4 linked regions of the Callithrix jacchus genome follow. The protein of the gene in region 1 interacts with the protein of each later gene in a biochemical or structural test. Links are inferred from orthologs where the notes say so. Each region holds a gene or a part of one and is shown in the gene's direction. Other genes may lie near its edges.

Region 1 (7,062 bases):
TGGAAGACACGAACGTCTGCTAAATCATGCTCCTCTTTTTTTTTTTATGCATATGAATCCCTCCAAGGTCTTGTTAAAATGTGGATACTGATTCAGTAAGGCAATACGTTCCACACTTTGAGCAATATAGCTGTAAATTACATTGGAGGTAAACTCTAAATTGAGATTTTAAACTTAAAATGATTTATTTAACTGTTTTAAAAGGTGAAGGGGAGTGGTTGTGAGAAATTTTAATAGAAGTTAAAAATTTAGTGTTATGACCTTTTTGTGGAGCTTTCAACATCAAAACTATAAGCAGATTATATTAAGATTCTAAGACTTTTTTGGTCTTAAAAAGGTATAAAAGATGTGGAAACGGAAGATCTTGAGGAGAAGTTGGAAACTTCTGACATACAGATTTTCTACCAAGAAGATCCAGAATGCCAGAACCTGAGTGAGAATTCATGTCTGCCTTCAGGTATCCCACACTGTTTGTTCTTTTCCATAATGGTGCTCTTCTGGTATTTGGTGTGGGGACATGTTTTGCTGTACCAGAAGTCACAGCCTTGTGAAAAGGTTTGTAAGGAAAATTGGAAAAGAGAATTTATGTTACAATAGATACCCTTTCTGTCTTTAGAATGCCATTCTCTCCTTCTAGTTCTTCTTCCACTATCTTTCTTTTCTTCTTTTACTATCTTTTTTTCTTCTTTTACCACTAAGAAAGTATGTGTGTGTCTACACTGGAAGTGCACATAGAGTCTTCACCAAAATGCAATGTCTATGAATTCCCAAATCAGTCTTGCTTTCTAGTCTTTCTAAAGAAAGACTTTAGGAAGTCTTCTTTTTCTTTTTCTTTTTTTTATTGCATTTTAAGTTTTGGGGTACATGTGTGTGCAGAACATGCAAGATAGTTGCATAGGTACACACGTGGCAGTGTGATTTGCTGTCTTCCTCCCCTTCACCCACATCTGGCATTTCTCCCCATGATATCCCCCCACCCCACTGTCCCTCACCTATTCCCCCCAGTAGACCCCAGTGTGTAGTGCTCCCCTCCCTGTGTCCATGTGTTCTCATTGTTCATCACCTGCCTATGAGTGAGAAAGTCTTTTTCTGAGCCACTTGCTCAATTTCTTTTAAGGATCTCAGGGCTGCCCTGCAAGTTGATGAAGTTAGTGTGCAGCTCCTTTTTCTCATTTACACAAAGGCTCTGTATAAGTTAGCTGTGGCCCTGTGAGGGCCCCTTATCTTCTTGAACCATATTTTCTTGACAGTTTTTTGAGACTGGAAAGTTGCATACTATGCCGTAATAGAGTTATTTATAAAAGGATATCCGGAAAGAAATTAGGATTAATAATGAGCAGTGTTAGAAGAAAAATGATATTAGGATAACTCCATAGAAATAAAATGTGCAGATTACTTCTGCAACTGGATGTTACAAGTGTCTTTTTTTTTTTTTTCTTTTTTGGTCATTCCAGAATAAAATCTGTTACCCTGGAAAAAAACAGAAACAAAGAACAAACAGAATAAAGTCAATGAATGTGCATTGCTTTAAATTTTCTGACGTGAAGATTCTTACGTCTTTTTTTGTTTGTTTTTGAGATGGAGTCTCACTCCGTTGCCCAGGCTGGAGTGCAGCAGTGCATCTCAGCTCACTGCAACCTCGGCCTTCTGGGTTCAAGTGATTCTCCTGCTTCAGCCTCCGAAGTAGCTGGGACCATGGGCGTGTGTCACCACAACTGGCTAATTTTGTATATTTAGTAGAGATGGGGTTTCACCATGTCAGCCAAGCTGGTCTCTAACTCCTGACCTCAAGTGATCTCTCCACCTTGGCCTCCCAAAGTGCTGGGATTACATGCATGAGCCAGTGTGCCTGGCCCTTACATGTCTTTTCTGTGAGGGTAATTCACTTAACTTTTTAGAAATTTTCCCTTTCTCTAAAATGGGTAGGGTAGATTCAGTAGACAATTTCCAAAGTCTTTGCTAGCTTTAATATTTTGTATGCTTACCTGTTACTGAGATAAAGCCTTTGATTATTTTTCAAAACTTCTGGTTGTATTGAGAGAAAATGCCATTTGAGAACTTGAAGAAGGACAAAGCATTATTGCTACTTAAGAAATTGCTTTGGTAACAGTTTGGATTTCTTCAAAGATCTTGGGAGGATTTGTTGCTTTGTTCCATACAGCATTGCCTTTAACAAAGGGACAACTTGTCTTACCCAGAATTGGGCTATTCTTGCTGTGGTTTCTCTTTGTTAGGCTTCCATGATTGTATAAAAAATAATTCATGTTTTTTTCTTTCTTTCTTACCATCAATACTTTGTCATTGAGAGAATTTTGTACTTCAGATTAGTGAAAAAGCTAGAATGGTTAACAAGGAAAGGATTCTAAACTGTCTCCAATGAGGCGCTTCTTGCTGGAGTCAGAATTTGTGGACTTTAGACTGTGGCTATTTCCCTGATTCCTCAGAGCAGGAGCTATTTGGTAATTTTGTTTCTTTTGTATTCCAGAAGTGTCTGATACAAACTTGTACAGCCCATTTAAACCAAGAAGTTACCAATTAGAGCTTGCTTTGCCTGCCAAGAAAGGAAAAAACACAATAATATGTGCTCCTACAGGTAAGCCAGTTGCCATCACTTATATAGTTTTTTGTTTCCTTTTTTTCTTTTATTGAATACTGGGACAGAATGGGCAAGTTTCAGTTTTTTCCTTGTTCATGTGTCTTTTGAAAAAACTGTCCTAATAACATAATCCTAATTATTTTATGGGACATGAGAAGGTAAAGAAAAGTACCCTCTGTTAGCTTGCTTTTGGGTTCTGGCTGTTAGCATGCTATCTAGGGAGTAGCTTGATATTTTTTAGTTATAGTGTAAATTCCGTAATTGTTAACCCATCTAAATTATCAATTAGTCAGCTCTGTGGTATTAGAAGAGCCAAAAATAAATGCCTTTTTAGAGAAATATCTAATATCATATGAGTTACATGTTTTATTTTTTCCTTACATGTTAAAAGGTTGTGGAAAAACCTTAGTTGCACTCCTTATATGTGAACATCATCTTAAAAAATTCCCGCAAGGACAAAAGGGGAAAGTTGTCTTTTTCGCTAATCAGATCCCAGTGTATGAACAGCAGAAATCTGTATTCTCAAAATACTTTGAAAGACTTGGGTAGGTATAATAGTTGGTTCAACTTCTTTTTCTTCAGCTTCATGTAATTGATGTGATTTCTGTTTTATTTTGGAAAAAATGATAAAACTTATATTAGATTCAGCTTTTATATAATCAGGATATAATTCATTCATGGATTCAAGTCTTTTTTGTTATATGTCCCAGAAGTCTTAAATGCCCCTGGTTTGCCCTTGTACAGGGAGTAAATGACTTCAGGGATAAATGTGATGTTTAAGTGGCACATTTAACTTCTTTAGTGATTTTATAATTTATTTGATATTACTCTTTTAAGTTTTCTTTTCTCTCTTGGTTACTTAATATATACTACTATAAATCACAACTATCTTAGATTTATTGATCACTTACTGTGTGTCAGGCTAAGCACTTACTATGTGCTAAGGACTTGCCTACAGCTATACTCCTTTTGGACTCAGGGAGAACTTAATCAGTTGATGATCGGATCCAGCATTTCATCTTCATGGTTCCTTATTCACATTGTGGTTGGTAATATGGAATTTCTGTCATTTCAGGTATAGAGTTACAGGCATTTCTGGAGCAACAGCTGAGAATGTCCCAGTGAAACAGATTGTTGAGAACAACGACATCATCATTTTAACTCCACAGATTCTTGTGAACAACCTTAAAAATGGAACGATTCCATCACTGTCCATCTTTACTTTGATGATATTTGATGAATGCCACAACACTAGTAAACAACATCCATACAATATGATCATGTTCAATTATCTAGATCAGAAACTTGGAGGATCTTCAGGCCCACTGCCCCAGGTATCTCCAAAGTCAGACGAATTCTTCAGAAAAGCTATAATCTTCCTAACTTTTATTTACTTACTCTTGTGGCCACACTGAAGATGTCCTTCTCAGGTCCTAAGTCCATATTATACAACTCATTTTTAATTTTGGTTCATTTATTCATTTGTTCACTTAGTAAAATACACATTATGTGCCTCCATGTACCATATGCTGTGTGTCAGTAAAAGCAAAAACAAAAGCCCTACTCCAGCAGGAAAGAGTTATATGAGGGGTTGTGGAAACATTGTGCTATTTCTCAGACATCTAATGATTTGGAATGCTTCTTACAGGTCATTGGGCTGACTGCCTCGGTTGGTGTTGGGGATGCCAAAAACACAGATGAAGCTTTGGATTATATCTGCAAACTCTGTGCTTCTCTTGATGCGTCAGTGATAGCAACAGTCCAAGACAACCTGAAGGAACTGGAGCAAGTTGTTTATAAGCCCCAGAAGTGTAAGTTGGATCCAGGAACAAGCCCTTTGAGATTTGGTTACTCTCTGCTAGCAGTAGTTCAGAGCCATCTAGATGAAAACTGAACTTTGACTCTTTCTCTGTTTAGTAAAAAATATTTAACTCCAAACTTGAGTAATAGTCACATTTTTAGCCTCTCTCTCTAACTGAGCTCTCTTCCCAAGCAATGGATGAACCTCAGAAGTGGCCTGTAGAGAGCAAAGGTTCTTCCTCTTTGGTTCCAAAAACCTCTTATAAAGGTACTAGTGATGCAAAAGAGATGATGAGAGAATTTAGGCATCAGATAGCCAAGAGCTGGGCTCAGCCTTGTTCCATGGTCTGTGCCCGTATGGTCATCACTGTTTGAATATGTATTTGATCATTTTAGTTGAAATGGAATGATCTGAATTCATGATATCCCTCCGCAAAAGATCAGATATGATTTTTTTTTTTTTGAGATGGGGTCTTGCTCTGTCACCCAGCCTGGAGTGCAGTGGCGTCTCAGCTCACAGCAACCTCCGCCTCCTGGATTCAAGCAATTCTCCTGCCTCAGCTTCCCAAGTAGCTGGGATTACAGGCACCCACCACTGAGCCTGGCTAATTTTTGTATTTTTAGTAGAGACAGGGTTTCACCATGTTGGCCAGGATGGTTTCGAACTCCTGACCTCAGGTGATCCACCTGCTTCGGCCTCCCAAAGTCCTAGGATTACAGATGTGAGATACCACGCCCGGCTGGATATGAATTTTTAGTAAGACTAACAACTGTTGATTGATGTTATTATTATACTAACCCTGCAAAGAAGAGAGGGGTACAGAAAATACATAGGATTACACCCTTGCTCTCTGAGTAGTATGTGACTGTATGTCTGAGGTAGAACAAATCCACATGGAATAGGGAGTGTTGTAGGTAAGCTGCTTTTCGAAGGCTGCTTGTAAGGAGTGTGATGTACCCAATCCCAGCTTTTCAGGGTCACATATGAATTTCTTTATAATCCTCCTCCTCCAGCCCTCTGAGCTTCATCGCCTCCAAACATTCATAAACCCAACCATGTCGCATTCCTCTGGGCTCCTCAAACATGCCCTGTGCTTTCTCTCTCCAAGCTCTTGTCTGTGCTTCCTTTGTACATCACTGCTCTTTTTTTTTCTTTTTCTTTGCCAAGTCGTGATGGAATATAGATGACTACTCTTTTTCCTTTCTTCTTCCTGTATTTATTCTACAGCTGTGACTTCTCTGGAAGAATTAGGTGTTTGCCTATGTTTTGTGACACTTTTCATGTCCTACTACTTTTTTTTTTTTTTCTGGGACAGAGTCTTGCAGTGTTGCCTAGGCTGGAGTGTAGTAGTATTATCTTGGTTCATTGCTGCAACCTCCACCTCCTGGGTTCAAATGATTCTCCTGCCTCAGCCTCGTGAGTAGCTGGAATTACAAGTGTGTGCCACTACGCCCAGCTAATTTTTTGTATTTTTTAGTAGAGATGGGATTTTGCCATGTTGGCCAGCCAGGCTGGTCTTGAACTCCTGACCTCAAATGATCCACCCTCCTTGGCCTCCCAAAGTGGTGGGATTACAAGCATGAGCCACTGTGCCCAGCCACACTTTGCATGTACTTCTGTTACAGAACTCTGCTGTAGTTAGTTAGCCATGTATATTCCTCTCCTTTAAGATCACAGCCCTCTATGGAGCATGGAGTGTGTTCTTTCAACTGTTTATAACCAAAGCATGGCACATAGTAGGCAATTAATAATTAGGCTGAAATAATACACTGATAAATGGTAGGATCACTGTGAATACCACTGGAGGCTGTGTGGGGAGGGAGAATAGCAAAGCACAGAGATGGGATTAGATTGTGACACTTGAGGAGACATGAAAGATGCCAGCCTCATCAGAGAAGAGGTTACAGGACAGCCACAGTAAGAAGCTGGTTAGGCCAGATGCAGTGGCTCACATCTGTAATACCAGCACTTTGGGAGGCTGAGGCGGGTGGATCACAAAAGTCGGGAGTTCGAGACCAGCCTGGCCAGTATGGTGAAACCCCATCTCTACTAAAAATATAAAAATTAGCTGGGTGTTGTGGTGCGTACCTGTAGTCCCAGCTATTCAGGAGGCTGAGGCAGAAGAATCGCTTGAACCCAGGAGACGGAGGTTGCAGTGAGTGAGACTGCGCCACTGTGCTCCAGCCTAGGCAACAGAGCGAGACTTTGTCTCAAAAAATAAAAATAAATCAATAAAAATAAGCTGGTTAGATCTACACCACGAAAGATGTTAAAATCAGTACAGGAAGCAACAGGAAGCCATTGCAAGGTTTTTGAGCATTTGTTATATCTAGACCACCTGCCAGTGAGCCTGGAACCTCAGGGTTTTCAGAGGATTTAACAAAGGCAGAGAAAGGTTTGAGAAATATCTACTTTGAACTACAGTCTTTCCTTCTTGAAAATATACTACTCACTCTCTTTTTTTTTTTATGTCTCTAGTTTTCAGGAAAGTGGAATCACGGATTAGCGACAAATTTAAATGCATCATAGCTCAGCTGATGAGAGAGACAGAGGGTCTGGCAAAGAGAATCTGCAAAGACCTTGGTAAGATAAATCTCATATTTTGTGTTTTCTCTATTTGGAAATAGCCATATATTGTTCACTATGGTCTTTTTTTTTTTTTTTT
Region 2 (7,803 bases), on another chromosome or scaffold:
AAGCTATTAGGCTGTTGAGCATTTGAATGGCCTGGGGTGGAGATAAAGATGTGAAAGTCTTTGGAACAAAAGTATAACAGAACCTATGTGATTTTTAAGAGAAAGAAAGAGAAATGAGAAGGGAAAAGGTCCTAAGACAGAATCCTAGGCTCTCCAGCCCAGAGCCAGTGGAGAAAGAGACTCCAGCAAAGAAGGCAGAGAAACAACAGCCAGCAAGAAAGAAGGGAAGTCAAAGCGTTTCCAGGAGGGAATGGTCAGCACTGACAAACACAGTCAAGGGGTCAAGCAAAAACGTAGCTGAAAAGAATCTATTGGAATTAGTCACATGAACGTCACCAGTGACACCGATAATAAAGCAGTTTTTCGACAGATGGAGGTGGAGATGTTGGTTCAGAACCCAGACGAGACTGAATAAGAAGTGAATAATTGAGAAATGATGACAAAATGTGCAGAATCAGATCAAGAGATTTGGCCTTGAAGGGGATATGGGGCAGGAGTTGAGGCATAAGTGGGATGAAAAGAGGATTTTAATTTCCTTTTGAAAATAGCTATCATTTCATCTTATCTCCTCACCATACCCCCCAGCCCCCACGACCTGATGCTCCAGCCCCACAAATCTTTCTTTCCTTTGATCCTGCCTCATTCGCTGTTCCCAATGCTTGCCACGCTTTTCCCTAAATCTATGAATGGCTCATTTCTTCTCATTATTCATGGCTTTGCTCAAATGTCACTTCATCCAAAAAGTCTTCTCTGAGCTTATCCTTCTCCCCATTGTCATTCACTGTTTTATCTTCTTTGTGGTTCTGATTACCTGAAATGATTTTGTTCATTTATTAATGAACAAAATTTTATTTATTCATTTATTAATAAATAAATTTATTGATTGATTACTTAGATCTTCCTTTTGTTTGTTTTTGGGGTTTTGTTGTCATTGTTGTTGTCATTTGACTCTGTCACTCACACTGGAGTGCAGTGGTATGATCTCAACTCACTACAGCCTCCATCTCCCAGGTTCAAGCGATACTTGTGCCTCAGCCTCCCAAGTAGCTCACACCCAGCTAACTTTTGTATTTTTAGTAGAGACAGGGTTTTACCATGTTGGTCAGGCTGGTCTCATACTGACTTCATATGATCTGCCCTCCTCGGCCTCCCAAAGTGCTAGGATTACAGGCGTGAGCAACTGCCCCAGCTTGGTTTGTTTTTTGAGACAGGATCTTGCTCTGTTGCACAGGATGGAGTGCAGTAGCATGATATTGGCTCCTGTGATCAAATGATCTCTCACCTCAGCCTCCCAAAGTGCTGAGATTACAGGTGTGAGCCACAGTACCCGGCCTATATCTCTTAATCAAAAGTAAAGTGTGAGTGTGGCAATTCCTCAAGGATCTAGAACCAACAATTCCATTACTGGGTATATACCCAAAGGATTATAAATCATTATACTATAAAAACACATGCACATGTATGTTTATTGCAGCACTGTTCACCATAGCAAAGACTTGAAAGCAATCCAAATACCCATCAGTGATAGACTGTATAAAGAAAATGTAGCCCAAATCCACCGTGGAATATTATGCAGCCATAAAAAAGGATGAGTTCATGCCCTTTGCAGGGACATGGATGAAACTGGAAGCCATCATTCTTGGCAAACTAACACAGAAACAGAAAACCAAACACCACTTGTTCTCACTCATAAGTGGGAGTTGAACAGTGAGAACGGAACATCACACACCAGGGCCTGTTGGAGGGTGAGGGGCTGGGTAGGGATAGCATTAGGAGAAATACCTAATGTAGATGATGGATTGATGTGTGCAGCAAACCATCATGGCACGTGTATGCCTATGTAACAAGACTGCACATTCTGCACATGTATCCCAGAATTTAAAGTATTATAATAATAATAATAATAAAAAGTAAAGTCTGGGGTAAACTGGGTGAAATTTATGGGCTGTTAAGTACATGTATGTATTATATGTTATTATATCCCATGTGTTATGTATTATTGTATATGTGTATTATATACTATGTGCTATTTTTGCAACTCTACGCAAATCTACAATTATCTCAAAATAAAGTTTTGTTTTTGTTTTTTAAAGTAAGTTCTGTGAGAACTGGGGTTTTATTTGCTTGTTGACAATTGTGTCTTTATCATCAGAACAGGGTCTGGCATGCAGTGGGCACTAAATAAGTCTTCGTAAAACGTGTGAATTAATGCCCGGCGACTTTTTATATTATTAGTAGAGACGGAGTTCTACCACGTTGGCCAGGTTGATCTCGAACTCTGACCACAAGCGATCCAACCGCCTCGGACTTCCAAAGTGCTGGGATTACAGGCCGGGGTCACTGAGCGCAGCTGATCAAGTTTAAAGGGCGGGGTGGGGAGAGTACAAACAACAGAGGAAATCCTGAGCCGCAGAGGAAACTGGAGATGGCAGCGTTTAGCACTAGACTCTGTACGAGAGGCAGGATTGGAATCCAAATCTCCAGAACTCTTTCCACTGCCCGTGCTATCTCTCCATTGATGGACTATTGACTGGATGACAAAGTATTGATAGCACAGTCTTAGGAGACGCCCAGTCATAGATCATAGGCCATCTTTGCAGCTTATTGTGATTTCAACCGTGGAGGATGGTCCTATCCATCACCTTTCAAGCGGCTGTTCTCTGATCAGCATTAAGCATGGCCACGCCCGCCCTTAACTTCTGACTGTGGGGAAAGAGGTTGTGTGGGTGACAGCTTGGAAGGTTTACTACTGCCTCAATCCTCTTTTCTGCAGTTGAGGTTTCAGGTTTCAATCCTCCCAATACCACAAGACAGTGCAGCGAGCACCCGGCGGCCGCCGCCTCCGCCTCCGCCTCCGCCTCCGCGCCTCAACCCCGGCAGCCTGCAGATTTCAGCCCCGCCGCCGCGCACTCGCCCTGCCCTAGACCAGGGTTGGGCGCAGCGGCTGAGGCTGCTTCTGGGCTGCGCGAACTGGGTGCGCTGGGAGGCGGCGATCGCAGCTGGGCTGGGACTTCCTTCCTCCAGCGCACGGCAACAAAACAACCTTGCAGCAGGCACTGAGCGCTTGGCAGCTGTCCGGGCGAGCGAGAGGCACAGCGATGGGCTCTGTGCTGAGCAGCGACAGCGGCAAGTCGGCGCCCGCCTCTGCCACCCCGCGGGCCCTGGAGCACAGGGGGGACCCGGAGTTGCCCGTCACGTCCTTCGACTGCTCCGTATGCCTTGAGGTGTTACACCGGCCTGTCCGGACCCGCTGTGGCCACGTGTAAGTGCCAGGGGAGCCGGGTTCGCGCCCATCCCTGCGGAGGTCGATGTGGGGAAGCTGAGGGCTTGGTAGGGGGAAGAAGGGGGACGGAAGACAGCGCCTTAGGAACTGCTGCAGGGAGAAACCTGGACCCGTCGGGTGCGGGGCCACAAGGAAAACGCCAGTCGGTAGGTGACACGGGACTTCGGGAGGAGAAGACAGAAACGAGCGGGCCCTTTAGCCCCCTTGCGCTGTCTCCTCCCGAAGCCCAGGTGCGGAGCTCCAGGGATCCAGGCACGGGTCCCACCCAGCGCCAGGGCTGGCCAACGAGGGAGGGTGCTCCTGGCTGGAGAACCAGCGACCGCCCGGGCACAGAAAGAAAACCAGCGCCCGCTACAAGGCAAGGGCTCCCGCTAAGCGCAGTTATCCCGCTGAACTCGGTGGAACGGGCTGCGCTTCCCTCTGCCCCAGAAACCTGGGTCCGTTTTGTTTTGCTGCAGCTGTGCACGTGTTCCCAGAATGCCCACAGAGACTCGTCTTAAGCAAACAAGGATTTGTGCCAAGTGTCCTTCCACCCCCACCCCTGCTACCCTTTCCCAAAACAGACACCCAGCCTCTCAAAGAGCAAGTCAAACTGGAGCTTCCGAGTGACTTTCCACAGTCGTTAGAGTTTAACAACCTGCTAGGGTGGGGCTTGGACGTTAGCCGCAAGCCCCTGAATGCAATCCTTCACTACCCAGCCACAGCGTGACAGGAGGTGGCAGACTACCTGCTTTACTCCCCGTCTCTCCAAACCCGCAGAAATTACAGAGTAAAATAACTTTCTCGAAACCGAGCAGTATTTAGCTAAAACTCGCAGTTGGTGCAAAGCCCTGTCGTTTCTAAGAAGCGTTTAAAAACAAAGTCCGGATATAAATTTGGCACATCCTTAATGTTGTGTTCTCTGTTTGCTTTTTTTCTTTTTTTTTTCCTGAGACATAGTGTGGCTCTGTTGCCCAGGCTGGAGTGCAGTGGCGCGATCTCGGCTCACTGCAACCTTTGCCTCCCCGGCTCAAGTGATTCTCCTGCCTCAGGCTCCCTAGTAGCTGGTATTACAGGCGTGTGTCACCACAACCAGATAGTTTTTGTATTTGGAGTAGAGATGTGGTTTCACCATGCCGGCCAGGCTGGTCTCCTGACCTCAATTGATCCACCCGCCTCAGCCTCCCAAAGTGCTGGGGTTAAAGGAATGAGCCACTGCTCCCAGCCTTCACTGTTTGTCTTGAATTTTGTTCACGGATACACGTGTGTGTGTGTGTGTGTGTCTGTGTGTGTGTGCGCGCGTGCGGGTGCACAGATCAGGAGCGGAAGCCTACTTAATGTCCTTTGAAGACTGACTATAGTATGATGAAGCCCTGTGCGATACCACATTGGCTTGTACAGCTTTTGGCTTAGCAGGAAGAAAGAAATAGCATATTATGGATGCAAGTGCACAATATGTTTTCGAGAACCACTTTTGAAAGGATTTGGGTAGTCCTTAAAAACATGTGCATTTGCATTCAAAAGTTTTGAGGCCTGTAGTGGTGGCTCACACCTGTAATCCTAGCACTTTGGGAGGCTGAGGTGGATGGATCACCTGAGGTCAGGAATTCAAGACCAGCCTGGCCAACATGGTGAAACCTCGTCTTTACTAAAAATATAAAAATTAGCCAGGCATGGTGACCTACACCTGTAATCCCAGCTATTCAGGAGGCTGAGGCAGGAGAATTGCTTGAACCTGGGAGGAAGAAGTTGCAGTGAGCTGAGATGGCACCATTGCACTCCACCCTGGCAAGACTTTGCTTCAAAAAATAAACAAAAAAAGTTTTGAAAGTACTTAGGTGGTCCTTATTACCTATATCTTTGTATCTGAAAAGCAGTGTTCACCACTGCCCGTCTGTGAGCCAGGGAGAAAAGTGTGCAACCTGTGCAATGTATAAAGAGTGCTTTGGGCATTATTTCATGGCTGTATTCTCAAGGCCTGTTGTTTCAGCCTTGTTCGTAAAATTCGAGGCTTAAATTTACCCTCCTTTCTGGTTATTGATGTTGTTGCTCAGCTGTCCAGATGTAGTAACATGATATCCACAGACCAATCTGGAAGCCAAAATGTGCTATGTGAGTCAAAGTACATTGATTAGTTTAGTGCAGTAACAACCTAAAGATACCTCCATTTAAATTTAATAATTATTAGCATTAAAACTTCAACGTAGTACAAAACAGAAACAGTGGGCGTTTTGAAGATTCTTTTTGGAATAGAAGGCTTTGCTGTTCAATCTGACTGGAGACTGTTTTCCCGGTTTGGACTTTGAACATTATAATTTACCGTTAACAGTGTTTTTCCTTCTACTAAAGGATAATATAAATTTGCAAAATGTTGAATTTTTTGTTTAATCTTTTTCTTTGTTCAAGTGAATAGAAAACTAGCAACTGAAAAAAAAAAGTCGTAAAATAGTATAATAAGGGCTGAGCAAACTGCCTTTCCTTGCTTCACTGTTCTTTGTTTTGGCAAATCTATGTTCATTGTTCTGGCTGTGGGCAGAATTTCCATATTCCTCCTTTTGGCAAACTTACTTGGGTCCCTTCCACTTTATAGCTGTTAACCAGAGTCCTTACTGCAGTAGAGATTGTGAGTGTTGTTAATACCATTTGTACATTCTAAACGAATTACTCTTTTCCGCTGAAATTAAGTTGGAAAACAAAGAAATGCAAATGAACCTTCTCTATTTTATGATCTCATATTGAAGCTACATTTTCAAATGTAATGAACTAGGTTGTTTATGCTGATTTTTGTTTGTAAACCTACTTCAAGTCAAACAAGTTTAATAATAACAACAGTACCTTGAATAAATATGCACAGAGCACTTTATAAGTTGCATTGTGGTGCAGTGGAAACTGGCCCTTACAGAGAGCTGGATTTGAAATTCAGCTCTGCCACTAGCCAGCTGTGTGATCACTGTAAGGAAATTTGAATTTGATTTTTTTCCCCTAAAGGTTTGATCACTTGAGTCTATGAAACAAACTGCTAGTAGATTAACAAGGGGGAAAGGACTACAAATGTATTAATGTGCATACGGGCACGGGAGTCATGCCAAATGTGAAAACTGAAAGAAAGGGCCAGTGCTTGATGCTTTTTTTTTTTTTTTTGAGACGGAGTTTCACTGTTGTTACCCAGACTGAAGTGCAATGGCACGATCTCGGCTCACTGCAACCTCCGCCTCCTGGGTTCAAGCAATTCTCCTGCCTCAGCCTCCCGAGTAGCTGGGACTACAGGCATGTGCCACCATGCCCAGCTAATTTTTGTATTTTTAGTAGAGACGGGGTTTCACCATGTTGACCAGGATGGTCTCGATCTGTTGACCTCGTGATCCACCCGCCTCAGCCTCCCAAAGAGCTGGGATTATAGGGGTGAGCCACCACGCCCGGCTTTGTTTGATGCTTTTATACCATCTTGAGGTTACCACAGAATAGGGGCTTGGAACATGGTTACGGGAGGGAGAGAGAAAGAAGGGGCTGGGACAAAGGTGGTCTAGTTATGCTGATGAAACTTGATAGATAAACAGCTCTGAGAAAGAATAGGCATGACTGTGTTAAGTTGCTCTGTCAGCCCTTCACAGGTGTCAGACTTTCAGTTAATAATTTCCTAGGTCCAGATAAGGGGGTGCCTCCAAAAAAAGCCTGGTGATTTTTTTGTTTGTTTGTTTTTGGAGATGGAGTTTCACTCTGTTATGGGGCTGGAGTGCAGTGGTGTGATCTTGCCTTACCGCAACCTCTACCTCCCGGGCTCAAGTGATTCTCCTGCCGCAGCCTCCTGAGTAGCTGGGACTACAGGCAGGCACCACCACGCCCAGCTAATTTTTGTATTTGTAGTAGAGACGGGGTTTCACCATGTTGGTCAGAATGGTCTCGATCTCTCGACCTCGTGATTCACCCACCTTGGCCTCCCAAAGTGCTAAGATTACCGGTGTGTGCAACCGCGCCTGGCCTATTTATTTTTTTGAGACAGAGTCTCACTCTGTCGCCCAGGCGGGAGGGCAATGGCCTATCTTGGCTCGCCACAACCTCTGCCTCCCTGGTTCAAGCGATTCTCCTGCCTCAGCCTCCTGAGTAGCTGAGATTACAGGTTCCTGTCACAACGCCCAGCTAATTTTTGTATTTTCAGGAGAGATGGGGTTTCACCATGTTGGCCAGGCTGATCTTGAACTCCTGACCTCAGGTTATCCACCCCGCCTCAGTCAAAAAAGTTATAGTAGGAGTCTGAGGAAGAAACAAAGGTCTAAATAAATGGTGTTGGGAAAACTGGCTAGTCATATGCAGAAAGCTGAAACTAGATTCCTTCCTTACACCTTATACAAAAATGAACTCCAGATGGATTAAAGATTTAACTATAAGACCTAACATCATAAAAACCCTAGAACAAAACCTACTCAATAGCATTCAGGACATAGGATAGGCAAGGACTTCATGACTAAAACATCAAAAGCAATGACAACAAAAGCCAAAATAGACAAATAGGATCTAATTAAACTTAAGATCTTCTGCACAGC
Region 3 (7,062 bases), on another chromosome or scaffold:
GAACACAGCTCACTGCAGCCTCATCCTCCTGGGCTCAAGCAATTCTCCTGCCTCTGCTCCCATGTAGCTGGGACTACAGGTGTGTGCCACCATGCCCAGCTAGTTTGTTGTTGTTGTTGTTGTTGTACTTTTGGTAGACATGGGTTTTCCCCATGTTGCCCATGCTGGTTTCTAACCCAGAGCTCAAGTGATCCCTGCGCCTTGGCCTCCCAAAGTGCTGGGATTCCAGATGTGAGCCACTGTGTGCCCAGCCCTTGGCAAGTTTTTTTTTTTTTTTTAATTTTTTTTCTGATTCCCTATTTGGTTTTTGTGTTTCTTCCCTTATGGAAATATAGTTTACCTGCAGTAAATCTTAAATAGTTAGATCTATTTTGACAAATGCATACATGTGTTACCATTATCCAAATCAAGATAATTTCCCTTACTCCAGAAAATTCTTCAAAAAAAAAATTTTAAAAAAGCTGGGTGCAGTGGCTCATGCCTATAATCCCAGCACTTTGCGAGGCCGAGGCGGGTGGATCACGAGGTTAAGAGATTAAGACCATCCTGGTCAACAAGGTAAAACCCCGTCTCTACTAAAAATACAAAAATTAAGCTGGGCATGGTGGCGCGCACCTGTAATCCCAGCTACTCGGGAGGCTGAGGCAGGAGAATTGCTTGAACCGAGGAGGTGGAGGTTGCGGTGAGCCGAGATCATGCCATTGCACTCCAGTCTGGGTAACAACAGTGAAACTCCGTCTCAAAAAAAAGAAAAGAAAAGAAAATTCCTTCCTGCTCCTTATTCATCAGTCCCTGCCTGCCATGTCCACTGATACTGGTTTCTATCACTGTAGATTCATTTTGCCTGCTGACTCCTATTTTTCAAGTGAAAACATCCTTTTATTTGACTGGGTCAAATTCAAGCACATGAATATTATTATTTTGAAAATGTCATTGTATTTGCCTTAAAAGATCTTAATTCTGAAAACTTTCTTTTGCAGAAGAGAAAAAGAAATCCAAGAAACCTTGTAAGTTTTGCATTTCTGCAATTGTTTGTTTCTTGAGACTGCCTGAGCATAGAACTAAATGCTGGTAGCGAGAGTTGATCTCTCTCATCAGGCTTCTTTCTGTGCTGGGATCTGTATGATTCCATTCTGTATGGCAGCAGGCCTGAGTCTGGAGGGGAGGACAAGCATAAATGAGTGAGATGAGTAAGGTGATTTTAGCCCTGTCTGGTGTCCCCTGTGTTGCCCTGCTGTTCAGGTGTGTGTTTGTAGAAGCTGCTCTTAGGAAGGGAGTAGAGGCCAACCCATTGCTCTGTATCATGTTTCTCTTTCCTTATAGCTTCGGGACTGATAGTGGAATCAGAACAAGATGGCTCTGAGGGTGAGTTATCATGGGCAAGAAGCTTTGGGGTGTCCACTCGGAGTTTGTTCTGCAAATTGCTCTTTGTTTCCTCTCTCAGCGGCAGCCACTGGAGCCAAAGGTGCCAGCTCACAGCCGAACGCAGCATCTCTCAAGGCCAAGGTGCTGGAGACCTTTCTGGCCAAGTCCAGACCTGAGCTCCAGGAGTGTGAGTAGCTTCTGTGCTGGTGCGCGGTTCCACCGGTTCTGTCTGTCCTCAGCCACTCTGTACAGTTCTGTGTGAGGCCAGCTGGCCAGCCATTTCCCAGCCATTTCCCTTCACTTGTCCTCTACTTTGTTGCTCCCTTATTCCTCCCAGTCATCAGTGCCTTTCTTGACTTCTTTCCTAACCAGCTCAGATTTCACAATGGGTCCTTTGACTCTCCCTCTTGCTGTCTATTCTGGCCTTACTGAGCTCACCTTTGGCATCTGCATGTTCCCTGCAGAGAAGGCAGGGCGATTGTGGTCACCAGCCTTCACCTGGCTGCTGTCTCCTGTCCCCTCCCTACCACTCTTTCAGAGCCACCATTCCCAAGACTTCCCACAGCCTTCTCCCTATTTTGCCCACCTTCTGCTTCACAGAGAAGAGAGACAGTGAAAAAGGGACTCCCCCTGCTCTGTTAATTGTCATCATACCTGCATCTACTGTGCCCTTTTCCTCGCCTCCTGGCCCCTTTCCCAAGCCTGGTCCCTGGCCCTGGGCTCTGGAGTCTGCTCCCCATGTGCTCTCTGGAGTCTTCTGCTCTCTCTTAGGCCTTTCCACTCCCATCTCTTCACCCTCAGCCTCTCTGCTGAGGCTTGCCTATCTGTAGCATGTTTACATCTCTCCAAATCACAAAACAAACCCAGCAAAACTGTTTTGGGGCCGGGCGTGGTGGCTCAAGCCTGTAATCCCAGCACTTTGGGAGGCCGAGGCGGGTGGATCACGAGGTCAAGAGATCGAGACCATCCTGGTCAAAATGGTGAAACCCCGTCTCTACTAAAAATACAAAAAATTAGCTGGGCATGGTGGCACATGCCTGTAATCCCAGCTACTCAGGAGGCTGAGGCAGGCGAATTGCCTGAACCCAGGAGGCGGAGGTTGCGGTGAGCCGAGATCACTCTATTGCACTCCAGCCTGGGTAACAAGAACGAAACTCCGTCTCAAAAAAAAAAAAAAAAACTGTTTTGGCTCCAGCTCTGTTTCCTGCCTCCCTTTTACCTGAATGCTTTTTAAAAATACAAATTCCTAGCTGGGTGCAGTGGTTCATGCCTGTAATCCCAGCACTTTGGGAGACCAAAAGGTCAGGAGTTCAAGACCAGCCTGGCCAACATGGTGAAACCCCATCTCTACTAAAAATACAAAAAATTAGCCAGGCATGGTGCCACATGCTTGTCATCCCAGCTACCTGGGAGGCTGAGGCACAAAAATTGCTTGAACCCAGGAGGTAGAGGTTGCAGTGAGCTGAGATTGTGCCACGGCACTCCAGCCTGGCAACAGAGAGTGAGACTCTGTCTCTACAGACAAACAAACAAAACCAAAAAAACCCAAAAAACAAATTCCTGGGCCCTGTTCCAGTTCTACAGGATCAGACTCAGGCAAGCACGGAGATCTTTTATGTTTGGCTCATTTCCTTCATGGTCCTTTTGAGGACGGCTGGGGAAAAGCAGCTCTTCAGACTGTGGACACTGGTGGCTCTCAACTGCTGGCCATGTGTTAGAATCCTCTGGGGAGGTTTTTAGAATCCCCGATGCCCAGGCTGCCCCCCAGAATGGTTCACTCAGAATCTCAGTGTTTAGTTGTCCAGGGTTGCAGTGTGGGGCCGAGGTGAGAGCCCGAAGTCTAATCCTTTTGCCACTGCAGTCTGACCTCTCTCCTGCCCTTGACTCAGGCAGCTCTGAGGTCATCAGTGGCCTCTGTGTCACAAAATCCAAGGGATGCCTTTCAGCTTTTATTTAGCGTCACCTCTCAGTGGCATTCCTCCTCCTTCTGACACTCTCTCCCCTTGACCCTTGAGCCACTATACGCCCCTGGGTTTCCACCCACCCCTCTAGTCAGGCTCCTTTGCAAGCTTGTCCAACTTGGAAATGGGTGGAGTTCCTTTATCAAGGCCAGGCCTAGGACCTGCCCACTTTCCCTCTTGTTTCTTCTGCACCCACGGGCAACACTCCATGCAGCACCTGCCAGCGGTACCCACTTCTATGTGGTGGCCAAACCCAATCACTGAAAAATACACCTCAGGCCCTTCCTTCATCTGCAGCTGCAGCAGACTTGGTGGAGATCTGTGGGTCCCTTGGTTTCTCAGGGCTGGCCTCCTTGTAGCTCACCACTGTGTTTGTCCCCCATGAGAGGCCCAGACCAGCCCCGGGCTGGAGCTGTCTCTTGCGCAAGCTGCTGGTGGTGGTGCTGAACCACATGTTTCAGGAGCTGCTGTGCACTCAGTGGCAGCTGCATAAGCAGGGAAAGTAAAGTTCTAGCCACTTAGGGCCTGTTTTCCCCACAGCTTATTCATTTTGCCTAGGGGGAAACTCGGGCTCCAGTGAAAAGTGTCATGCCCCTCAGCCACCTAGCAAGTGAGTAGGGACTAAAGAGACTGGGACGAAAGTCCAGGTCTCTTGGTTTCCAAGTTCCCAAGCTAAGATTTGTCCCTGTCTGCCTTGCTGCCCCATGAGCTGTTTCCCATGGGTCCCCAAGATCTCCTATGAGGACGGGGGCAGAGGAGATTGAGTATGGGATGACACTGAGGGGAGCTTCATCCTCAGATCTGGAACTGCTTGTAAGTGGCAGGAAGGGTAGGGAGGATATGCTAGTGTCACACCAAGGATATAGTCAGGCCATGTCTATGCTTACAGAGCTTGGCTCCCTGCTGCCCACCAGTTAAAGTCTAGACTCCTGAGTTCTTCCCTTTCTAGCCCCAACATGTTTCCCTTCTCTTGCTGCATCTGTGTTCCCAGCCACCCAGCTTCCTCAATCCTGGCACACCCCCACCCTTCTGGCACTCTGTGGCTTCACCCTCACCATTCCCTCTGTCTGGAATGGCCATTCTCTTTCCTCTGTCTAGTTCTCATCTTCTGTTACTTGGTTCCAGCTCCAGCATGACAGCAAAATGTTCCCCAACTGTAGCATCAGTGGCCTTATCTCTGTGTCCCTACAGTGTGTGCCTACGCTTTTGGGAGAGTGTGAGTCTCATAGTGTTGTTACTGATGGACTTGCCTTGCTTGTTGGAGTGTGAACTCCATGAGGCAACCAGAATCTGTGTCAGTCATGTGCCTGGTAAATTATTTTGGACGCATGAATGGGCAGACACGTGGATGACTGATAGATGATAGATGGCTGGCTGGGCAGAATGGATGGATGGATGGATGGATGGATGGATAGATGAGCTGATGGATAATGGATGGCTGCATAGATGGACAGATGGATAAGTGGATAAATGACTAGATGAGTGGATAGATGAATGAATGAATGGATAAATGGAAAGACAGAAGGATGGATAGAAAAGTGAATGGATGAGTGGATAGATGGGTATATGGACACATGGGTAGATGGCTAGATGGATGGATGGATACATGGATAGACAGATAGATGGATGAATAGACAGACAGATAGTTAGAAGTATGGATGGACAGACAAATGGGCAGATGGGTGCATGGATGGATAAAACTGGTGAATAAATAGTACCACATTGGGAAAGGTCTAAAAGTGAGAGCACTTTGGGCCCCTTGTAATTAATCCTTGGGGTGTTGTTTTCTCAGATTATGTTAAAGTCATCCTGGACTACAACACTGCCCACAAAAAGGTGGCTCTGTCACAGAACTATACAGTAGCTTCTGTGGCTGAGATGCCTCAGAACTACCGGCCGCATCCCCAGAGGTTCACATACTGCTCTCAGGTGCTGGGCCTGCACTGCTACAAGAAGGGGATCCACTACTGGGAGGTGGAGCTGCAGAAGAACAACTTCTGTGGGGTAGGCATCTGCTATGGCAGCATGGACCGGCAGGGCCCCGAGAGCAGGCTCGGCCGCAACAATGCCTCCTGGTGCGTGGAGTGGTTCAACACCAAGATCTCTGCCTGGCACAACAACGTGGAGAAAACCCTGCCCTCTACCAAGGCCACACGGGTGGGCGTGCTTCTCAACTGTGACCACGGCTTTGTCATCTTCTTTGCTGTTGCTGACAAGGTCCACCTGATGTATAAGTTCAAGGTGGACTTTACTGAGGCTTTGTACCCGGCTTTCTGGGTGTTCTCCGCTGGTGCCACGCTTTCCATCTGCTCCCCAAAGTAGGCAGGCCATGGACACTTGGACTGACTGCTTGCAGAGGTCCCAAGACCCTAGTGAAAATCCAGCAGGCAGAACTCTCCTTGGAGAATTCCCCAAGAGGTCCCAAGGTTTGGGAGTATGGGAGGGGAGCAGGCGGGAGGGTGGGGGATGGGATTTAGCCTGGGAAAAGGGGTGGAGGTGATTGTGTTGTGGGCAAGGAGGCATTTCCACCCCCTGGTGCCTATCAGGGCAGGGTGACCTGCTTCTCATTGTTCTGGGAAATCTCCAGGCTGCTGGGCAGCTGGGCAGAGCTCTGGGGAGTGAAGTCATGAGTGCCTAATTCCTCTTAGAAAAAAATCCATATCTACTGTAGGTTCTGTCTTGGGCCACTTGGATCTGAAGGCTGCCCCTTTGCTCTCTGGGGTAGCCTTCAGATCTGGGTGTTTTGATTACTTACCATAGATGTTTTTAAAATTCCAAAGTCATTAAATTTGGTTGAATTACACAACCTCCGTTACCCACATGCTGGGGCTCGATCTCCTGATTATTAGCTGTGCTTGAGGAAACACCCACAGCAGTCTCTACCCAGAACAGAGTTTCCTAAAGAAGCATGCCCTCTTCCTCCACTGTAAAATAGTGCTGTTCCCTTCCTACCCTGCTCACCCATCACTCCCCATTGATGGTTTTCAAACAGGAAACTTTTCAGCTAAAGCTTCAAACCATGACTGGAATGAGCCTGTGTTGGATTTGTGATTCAAGGTCAGGTGACCCCGGTCCAGTTTGAATGGAAATCCTTCCTAAGTGTCATGAGAAGCATCTTGGCAGAGATGCTTTGGTGGCAGCCATGAGCTTTGCTGGAGGCCTTGCTTCCCATAGCCTTGGCTGCAGGGCAAGGAACTCTGCTGGTCAAGAGGGACACTGCCCTGGGTCAACAGAAGCCTGATGGGTTTGCTCGTGTTGGAGTGTCCTGCTTTCTTACTGACAACTCTTCTTGGCTTTAGCTCCTCTCCCCTGGATTGTGAGATACGGAATGACAGTGCAGGTACCACTGAAGCTAGCACAGCCAGCTAAGCTGGATCTCTGAAGCCTGCTATCATGGAGACAGGCTGCCTCAGGGACCACACTAGACCACTTGCTCGGGTGGCAACCTAGCACCAAAAGGGTCTTTTAGCAAACCTCATGGGGAACAGGAACATTCCTGTTCATCCCTGGCCACAGGCTGCAGACCCAGCACTGGCCGTCTCATGAGTCAGAGCCTGGGGCTGGCCCTACCCCCTTGTGCTGCCTTCCTCCTTTGAGCCAGTTCTGTAAACTCACACTGATCAGGGAGGGAATGAGTTAAAGAGGGTCACACAAGTGGCTATTTTCCCTGCAGTGTTTCTGTGCAGTGAAAATAACCCAGTCCACTAAGAGGCGGGAGTGAATGGATTGCTGGATT
Region 4 (7,647 bases), on another chromosome or scaffold:
AAAATTGGCCAGGCACGGTGGCTCAAGCCTGTAATCCCAGCACTTTGGGAGGCCAAGGTGGGTGGATCACGAGGTCAAGAGATTGATACCATGATACCAACCTGGTCAACATGGTGAAACCCCATCTCTACTAAAAATACAAAAAATTAGCTGGGCATGGTGGCGCGTGCCTGTAATCCCAGCTACTCGGGAGGCTGAGGCAGGAGAATTGCCTGAACCCAGGAGGCGGAGGTTGCGGTGAGCTGAGATCACGTGATTGCAATTCAGCCTGGGTAACAAGAGCAAAACTACGTCTCAAAAAAAAAAAAAAAATTATGACAAAATTTCTGATGTAGGCTGGGTGCAGTGGCTCATGCTTGTAATCCCAGCACTTTGGGAGGTGGAGGCAGGTGGATCACCTGAGGTCAGGAATTCGAGACCAGCCTGGCCAACATGGGTAAACCCCATCTCTACTAAAAATACAAAATTAGCTGAGTGTGGTGGTGCACGCCTATAATCCCAGCAACTCTGGAGGCTGAGGCAGGAGGATGGTTTGAACCCTGGAGGTGGGGAGTTTGCAGTGAGCCGAGATCACGACACTGCACTCCAGCCTGGGCAACGATGTGAGACTCCATCTCAAAAAAAAAAAAAAAAAAAAATCTGATGTAAATGAATTTGTTAATATGTTTTTACTACCAGAGCTGACCACTCTCCTCCTTCTCCCTTTCTTATAACCACTGCATGATTTTGCTTAAAACTTTTAGAGAGTGTCCAAGAAAAAAGTTTGAAGACTACATTAACCCACTCTTTCCAGAAACTTGGCTGTGAAATGGAAAAGAGGAGCGCTGCCTCCAGGGATGCTTAGGTCAAAGGTAACTTTAGTTTATTTTTTATTTTTAAATTTTTTTTGAGACTAGGTCTAGCTCCTTCCCCAGGCTAGAGGGAAGTGCTGTAATCACAGCTCACTGCAGTCTTGGCCTCCTGGGCTCCCACGGCTCACTGCAACCTTCACCGCCCCTCAAGCAATTCTCCCATTTCAGTCTCCTGAGTAGCTGGGCATAGCCAGGCCTGTGCCACCGTGCCTGGCTAATTTTTTTTTTTTTTTGAGATGGAGACTTGCTCTGTTGCCCAGGCTGGAGTGTAATGGTATGATCTCGGTTTACTGCATCTTCCCCTTCCCGGGTTCAAGCGATTTTCCTGCCTCAGCTTCCCAAGTAGCTGGGATTACAGGTGCCTGCCACCACGCCTGGTTAACTTTTGTATTTTTAGTAGAGACAGTTTTTCACCAGCTGGCCAGGCTGGTCTCGAACTCCCGACCTCAGGCGATCCACCATTCTTAGCCTTACAAAGTGCTGGGATTACAAGCGTGAACTACTGTGCTTGGCCAATTTTTATATTTTTTTGTAGAAACAGGGTTTCACCATGTTGCTCAGGGTAGTATCAAACTCCTGAGCTCAAGCAATCCACCTGCCTTGGCCTCCCAAAGTGCTGGGATTACAGGCATGAACTACCATGCCCAGACAGCGATTTTATTTTTTAAATTGGAAGATCTGAGCATGTTTAACTGTTTAGTATCATGCCCATTTTACAGAAAAAAAAGAGAGGCTCTTAGAAGTTATGATTTTACTTCAGTGTGGAGATTCTGGAACAAGATCCAGGTAATCTCTCAGTCAGGATAGGCTAGGTTATGGTGTATCAATACACACCCACTCAATCTCAGTAAGCTTATATCAATACACACCCACTTAATCTCAGTAAGCTGAACACATCCCGGTTTTCTTCTCCCGCTTACTACATATCCTAGAGTGGGTTGGCAGGGAGTCTGCTCATCTTAGCCACTCACTGACCCAGATCACTGAATGATGGTTTCATCTCCATAGTTGGAGCAGCTGGCAGAAAGGGATACAATGACCGGCTCAGTCACCTTTAAAGCTGGTGGGAAGTAACATTAGTACCTCTGTGTGTTTCAAGTGGGTCAGGGAAGTGCCAGTCCTACCATGTGCCCAGAAAGGGAAAGTACTGGAAACGCTGATGAGCAGTGCTGCCTACTCCATGACACTTCCAGTGTTGGAAATAACCACAAACATTTTTTTTTGTCCTCAGCTTCACGAGTAGCCGGGACTACAGGCATGCACCTAGAAGACTGACTTTGTTTTTTTTTGTTTTTGCTTATTTATTTTTTGAGACAAAAGTCTCGCTCTGTTACCCAGGCTGGAGTGCAGTGACATAATCTCAGCTCACTGCAACCTCCACCTCCCAGGTTCAAGTAATTCTCCTGCCTTAGCCTCCCGAGTAGCTGGGACTACAGGTAGGCGCCACCATAGTAGAGAAGGGGTTTTACCATATTGGCCAGGCTGGTCTAGAACTCCTGACCTTGTGATCTGCCCGCCTTGGCCTCCCAAAGTGCTGGGATTACAGGCGTGAGCCACCAAGCCTAATCTTGTTTTATTTTTAGTAGAGATGGGGGTTTGCTATGTTGGCCAGGCTGGTCTTGAACTCCTGACCTCAAGTGATCCAAAGGTCTGCTACAAACTTGTATTATCTGATACCTACTTTGAGCTCCGGTGAGAAGGGGTAAAGCATGAGGCATTAAAGCATGAGGCATTGTTAGTTCATTTCAACATATTGGGGAGTTGTGGGTTTTAGTCTCTGACGCCTCACTGTTACCATGCGAGCTTAGAAGTTCCATTACCTCTTTGGGTCATCTGGGAGGACTTGGTGCTCTTTTAGTTCTAACATTTTCTGCTTGCAATGCGCTTAGGACTGGAGTAGGAGGTGAGTGAGTGGGAGAACGCAAACGCCACAAACGCCAGGCGAGCCATCTCAGGAAAACACTTTTTAGTATTTTGTCCGCTTGTCTGTCGGGAAACGCGCTTACATCCCGCAGAGGGCAGTAAGGACACAGCGCGCAACTCTGCTTTATAACTGCGCGTTAAAAAGCCTTGAATGCGCGTCAGAATCATGTAGGGGAGGTTTTATAAAAACCCGTGCTCCGCCCGAGACAATGAAATCAGACTCCCTGCAAGCGGGACCCGAACATCAGCATTTTTGAAGACCCCCACCCCCACCCCCGCCGCCGCCACCGTGACTGTGCACCGATGATCTTTAATCCCCTGCTACTTGTTAGAGCAGCTACTTATTAGAGGATGACACCTCGCGGACTCATTCTTACAAATGAGCTGCTGAATGGACTCCTTTCCTCCCAAGAGTTGTCGGTGTTGCATCTTTTTGTTGATTGTGTGTGTGTGTGTGTTTTGCCTACAGCACCCGGTATTCTAAGGCGGTCTCCCATCCAAGTACCAACCAGGCCCGACCCTGCTTAGCTTCCAAGATCAGACGAGATCGGGCTCGTTCGTATTTATATTTTTTTAGCCTACGGAAGAAGACATCCAATGGCGCTGCATCTTAATGGGGGCACATCCAGCGAAAGGGAATCTTGGAGACATCTGCGGGTTCCTAGCGGCTGGCGGCAAGTGGGTTTCCGAGGGCAGGGGGCCGCCACCGAAGGTCAGCTCTGCCATTCGCGCTGGGTTGTGGAGGATCAAAGTCCGCTTTCAGCAGGACCGGAGGAAGGAGACTGGGTGGCCCCAAGGGAGGAGGGTAAGAGGCAACCGAGAAGAGGTGGAGGGCCGGGGGAAGAGGAAGGGCGAGGGAGGAGCCTGAGGAGATGCGGCCCACATTGGGCCGGCTAGACCCAGACGTCCGCGCCAAGCCTGGTCGCCATGGCGGGCCTGGGTCTGGGCCCGGGCCCTGCCGTCCCCGTGTGGCTGGCAGAGGACGACCTGGGCTGCATCATCTGCCAGGGGCTACTGGACTGGCCGGCCACGCTGCCCTGCGGCCACAGCTTCTGCCGCCGCTGCCTGGAGAGCCTGTGGGGCGCGCGGGCCGCGGGTGGCCGCTGGGCCTGCCCCACCTGCCGGGAGGTCGCCGCGCAGCAGCCGCGGCTGCGGAAGAACACGCTGCTGCAGGACCTGGCCGACAAGTACCGCCGCGCCGCGCGCGAGCTGGAGGCGGGCCCCGACTCGGCCCCCCGCCCCGGCCCCGGCTCCTGCCCGGCCCCCAGGCCCCGGCGCCGCGGGTCACTGCCGCGGGTAGGGAGGCCGAGCTCGCAGGTCCCCTCGCGCCCCCGGGCTGCCCCCCTTTCCCTCTGGCTCGAACCCCCTTCCTCAGCCGTTCTACTTTTACGTTCCTTTTCTCAATCTAACAGTCGACTCCCGCTCTTAGGAGGAACTTTGAAGTTCAGAAAAGTATGAAGAAGCAGGAAAAAAAAATTCCCCATCTCCCGAAAGCCTGTCAACCTAGCAGCTATACGCCTTGGCATATTTCAACTTCTTCCCAATCTATTTGCGGTCTCTTTCTCTCAAAATTGTAAAATTGTGGTAAGATGCATGTAACATTAAAACTTGCCATTTTTGCCTTTTTTTTTTTTTTTTGGAGATGGAGTCTCTCTGTCACCATGCTGGAGTGCAATGGCGCGATCTGCTCACTGCAACTCCCGCCTCCCGGGTTCAAGCGATACTTCTGTCTCAGCCTCCCGAGGAGCTGGGATTACAGGCGCACACCACCGTGCCCAGCTACTTTCTTTTCTATTTTAGTAGAGACAGGGTTTCACCGTGTCACCCAGGCTGGTCTCGAACTCCTGAACTCAGGCAATCCTCCCGCCTCCGCCTCCCAAAGTGCTAGGATTATAGATGTGAGCCACGGGACCGGCCTCATTTTAACCATTTTTAAGTGTATAATTCAGTGACAAATTAGTTACATTTCCAATGTGCAAATAACACTGCTGTTTGCAAAACCCTTTGATGACCATAAACAGAAACTCTGTACCCATTAAGTAGTAACTCCTCATTTTCCCTCCCTCTAGCCCCCGCTCACATCTAAGCTACTTTCTGTATCTGAGTCTTCCTGTTCTGGTTATTCATATAACTGGAATCATTCAATGTCTGTGCCTTGTTTCTTTCACTTAGCATGGTGTTTTCAAGGTTCATTCATGTTGTAGCATGTGTCAGACTTTATTCCTTTTATGGAGGCTGAATAATATTCCACTGGGTGGATGTGCCACATTATTTATTTGTTTTTTTGAGATGAAGTCTCGCCCTGTCACCAGTGGCACCATCTTGGCTCTGCAACCTCTGCCTCCCGGGTTCAAGGGATTCGCCTGCCTCAGTCTCCCGAGTAACTGGGACTACAGGTGCGCACCACCATACCCAGCTAATTTTCGTATTTTTAGTAGAGACGGGGTTTCACCATGTTGGCCAGGGTGATCTCGATCTCTTGACCTCGTGATCCGCCTGCCTCAGTCTCGCAAAGTGTTGGGATTACAGGCCTAAGTCACTGAGCCCGGCCACATTTTAAAAAATCCATTCATCCATCCTTGGACATTTGAATTGTCTCCACCTTTTGGTTACTTGTGAATAATGCTGCAGGGAACATTGTTGTGCAAGTATCTGAGTCCCTATTTTCCATTCTTTTGGTATATACCTAGGAGTGTGATTGCTGGATCATATGGTAATTTTATGTTTAACTTATTGAGGAATGGTTTGTTTTCCACAAGGCCTGTACCTTTTTGCATTCCCACCAGCCATGTACAAGGGTTCCAATTTTTCCACATTCTGCTGACTACTTATTTTCTGGATGTTTTTGTTTTTCTTTTTTAGCATAGCTTTCACACCTTGGTATAGGCATGAAGTGACATTTCATTGTGATTTTTTTTTTTTTTTGAGATGGAGTCTCACTCCAGGCTGGAGTGAAGTGGCACAGATCTTGGCTCACTACAACTTCTGCCTCCTGGGTTCAAGCAATTCTCCCTGCCTCAGCCTCTAGAGTAGCTGGGAGTACAGGCACCTGCCACCACACCTGGCTGATTTTTGTATCATTGCCAAATCAAGTGTCATACATTTTGCCCTGTGTTTTCTTCTAAGAGCTGTATTATTTTAGGTCTTACATTTAGGTCTTTGATCCATTTTGAGTTAGTTTTTGTGTGTAATGTTAGGTAAGGATCCAACCTTATTCTTTTGTGTGTAGATATCCAGTTTTCACAATACAATGTGTTGAAAAACTGTCCTATCCCCATTGAATGGTCTTGGCACCTTTGTCAAAAATCATTTAATCATATATATGAGAGTTTATTTCTGGGTACTCTATTCTATTCCATTGGTCTATATGTCTGTTTTCATGCCATTACCACAGCATTTATGACTCCCTCTGTCTATAGTGGTTCCTGGGTCCAGTTTTATAGAACCCATGAACTGAACTTTGCTGTTTTAAAGGTGGAAGTACAGAAGAGCATCACAGAAGTTGGTCAGGAGCTGACAGAGCTGGGGGAACGGCTTGTAGATATTGTCAGGAGCCTGCAGAGTCAGAGGCCCCTATCAGAATCTGGACCAGACAATGAACTGAGCATCCTGGGCAAGGTAGGCTCCGCTGGGAGAGGAAAGGATCTGGGAGGTGAAAGGGCTAGGGATTGCTTTCAACTGAAACGACATGAATGTGTTTGAAGCTGAAGGATGCAGTAAGTCTCAACCTTTTATTGTTCTCTTCACTACCAGACATGGATGATTGGATATTTGGTATGCTTGAGGTAAGGTTCGGAAGCTTTGAGTGGGCTAGGATCACTCCACTTAACCAGCTATCTCTAAGATCACCAATGACCTCTGTGTAAACCCTGTAGACATTCTGATGCCTGTCTTCACTGACCTTTCAGCAGCCTTTGACATAGTGGACCCCACCTTCATTCTTAGCTTTTGGGACAGCAGTCTTCTGCCTTTCCCCCACCTCTCTCTGGCTGATCCTTCTCAGTCCGTTTGCAGGCTCTCTCTCCTCTGCTCAGGAATTCAATGCTGGACTTCCTCAAGGCTGAGTTATAGGTCCCTTTCTCTCTCCTCCAGGTAGTCTTCCTCGTACCCCTGGCTTTAATGACTACCTCTATGCACAAATATAGCTACAACCTGGAGCCTTCTCTGAGCACTAGGCTGCTATATCTCCCTTCTCATCTTTTCTTCTTGGGTATCTCAAAGCATCACACTTAACATGTCTTAAATTGCTCCTCCTCTGGGATTTCTCATCTCAATGCTGGCCCTATTATTTTTCCAAGTACAGAAGCCAGAGACATGGGAATCATGTTACCTCCTTCTCCCTCACCCTAATATGCAGCATATTGTAGCTCTAAGACCTGCCTAATTACCTCTCAAATATATTTACTACTCTTGAGCTCCTTTGAGAGTTCTCTAATCCAAGCCTCTGATAATTTCATGCCTGGATTGCTGTCATAACCTTCCAAATGCTCCACTCTCCCTCTTCTAGTCTGTTTTCCTCATGGTCATCACAGTGACCACCATAAACACATCTGAAAATGTAACTCATCTGCTTAAAACGTTCAAGTGACATCAGTTTGCTCAGGACTAAGACCCAAATCCTCACAGGATCGACAAAGCCCTGTAGGATCCCATCTGTGTCTGCCTCTCAAATCTCATCTCTGCTTACTCTGCCTGGCTCTGTGAGCTCCAGCTACACTGGCCACATCAGTGCCTCTGGTGTCTCACGTCTTCCCACTACAGGGGACCCTTCCTGGAATGCTCTCCTTTCCCTCCACCGCTTAGGTAATGCTTGCTCATCCTGCAGATCCTAGCTAGAACATCCCTTCTTCAGAGAGAAGCCTTCACTGATTTC

Evidence for each region.
Region 2: of the proteins of RIGI (region 1) and RNF125, one has a biochemical effect on the other in vitro, tested with the Homo sapiens proteins (3 studies listed by BioGRID and IntAct, with this or other methods). The link is inferred for Callithrix jacchus from reciprocal best matches to the Homo sapiens genes RIGI and RNF125.
Region 3: of the proteins of RIGI (region 1) and TRIM25, one has a biochemical effect on the other in vitro, tested with the Homo sapiens proteins (5 studies listed by BioGRID, with this or other methods). The link is inferred for Callithrix jacchus from reciprocal best matches to the Homo sapiens genes RIGI and TRIM25.
Region 4: of the proteins of RIGI (region 1) and RNF135, one has a biochemical effect on the other in vitro, tested with the Homo sapiens proteins (6 studies listed by BioGRID, with this or other methods). The link is inferred for Callithrix jacchus from reciprocal best matches to the Homo sapiens genes RIGI and RNF135.

Annotation. Positions count from the first base shown.
Region 1 is NC_133502.1:139,672,201-139,679,262, reverse strand, and holds part of RIGI (antiviral innate immune response receptor RIG-I), read left to right. Parts: intron 1-337; coding exon 338-457; intron 458-2,485; coding exon 2,486-2,593; intron 2,594-2,987; coding exon 2,988-3,141; intron 3,142-3,671; coding exon 3,672-3,930; intron 3,931-4,244; coding exon 4,245-4,407; intron 4,408-6,875; coding exon 6,876-6,980; intron 6,981-7,062.
Region 2 is NC_133514.1:75,099,331-75,107,133, forward strand, and holds the start of RNF125 (E3 ubiquitin-protein ligase RNF125), read left to right. Parts: upstream 1-3,062; 5' UTR 3,063-3,098; coding exon 3,099-3,262; intron 3,263-7,803. UniProt on the Homo sapiens protein: E3 ubiquitin-protein ligase that mediates ubiquitination and subsequent proteasomal degradation of target proteins, such as RIGI, MAVS/IPS1, IFIH1/MDA5, JAK1 and p53/TP53.
Region 3 is NC_133506.1:109,435,245-109,442,306, forward strand, and holds part of TRIM25 (E3 ubiquitin/ISG15 ligase TRIM25), read left to right. Parts: intron 1-980; coding exon 981-1,007; intron 1,008-1,323; coding exon 1,324-1,365; intron 1,366-1,444; coding exon 1,445-1,552; intron 1,553-5,118; coding exon 5,119-5,648; 3' UTR 5,649-7,062.
Region 4 is NC_133506.1:101,968,598-101,976,244, reverse strand, and holds the start of RNF135 (E3 ubiquitin-protein ligase RNF135), read left to right. Parts: upstream 1-3,675; 5' UTR 3,676-3,701; coding exon 3,702-4,070; intron 4,071-6,248; coding exon 6,249-6,392; intron 6,393-7,647.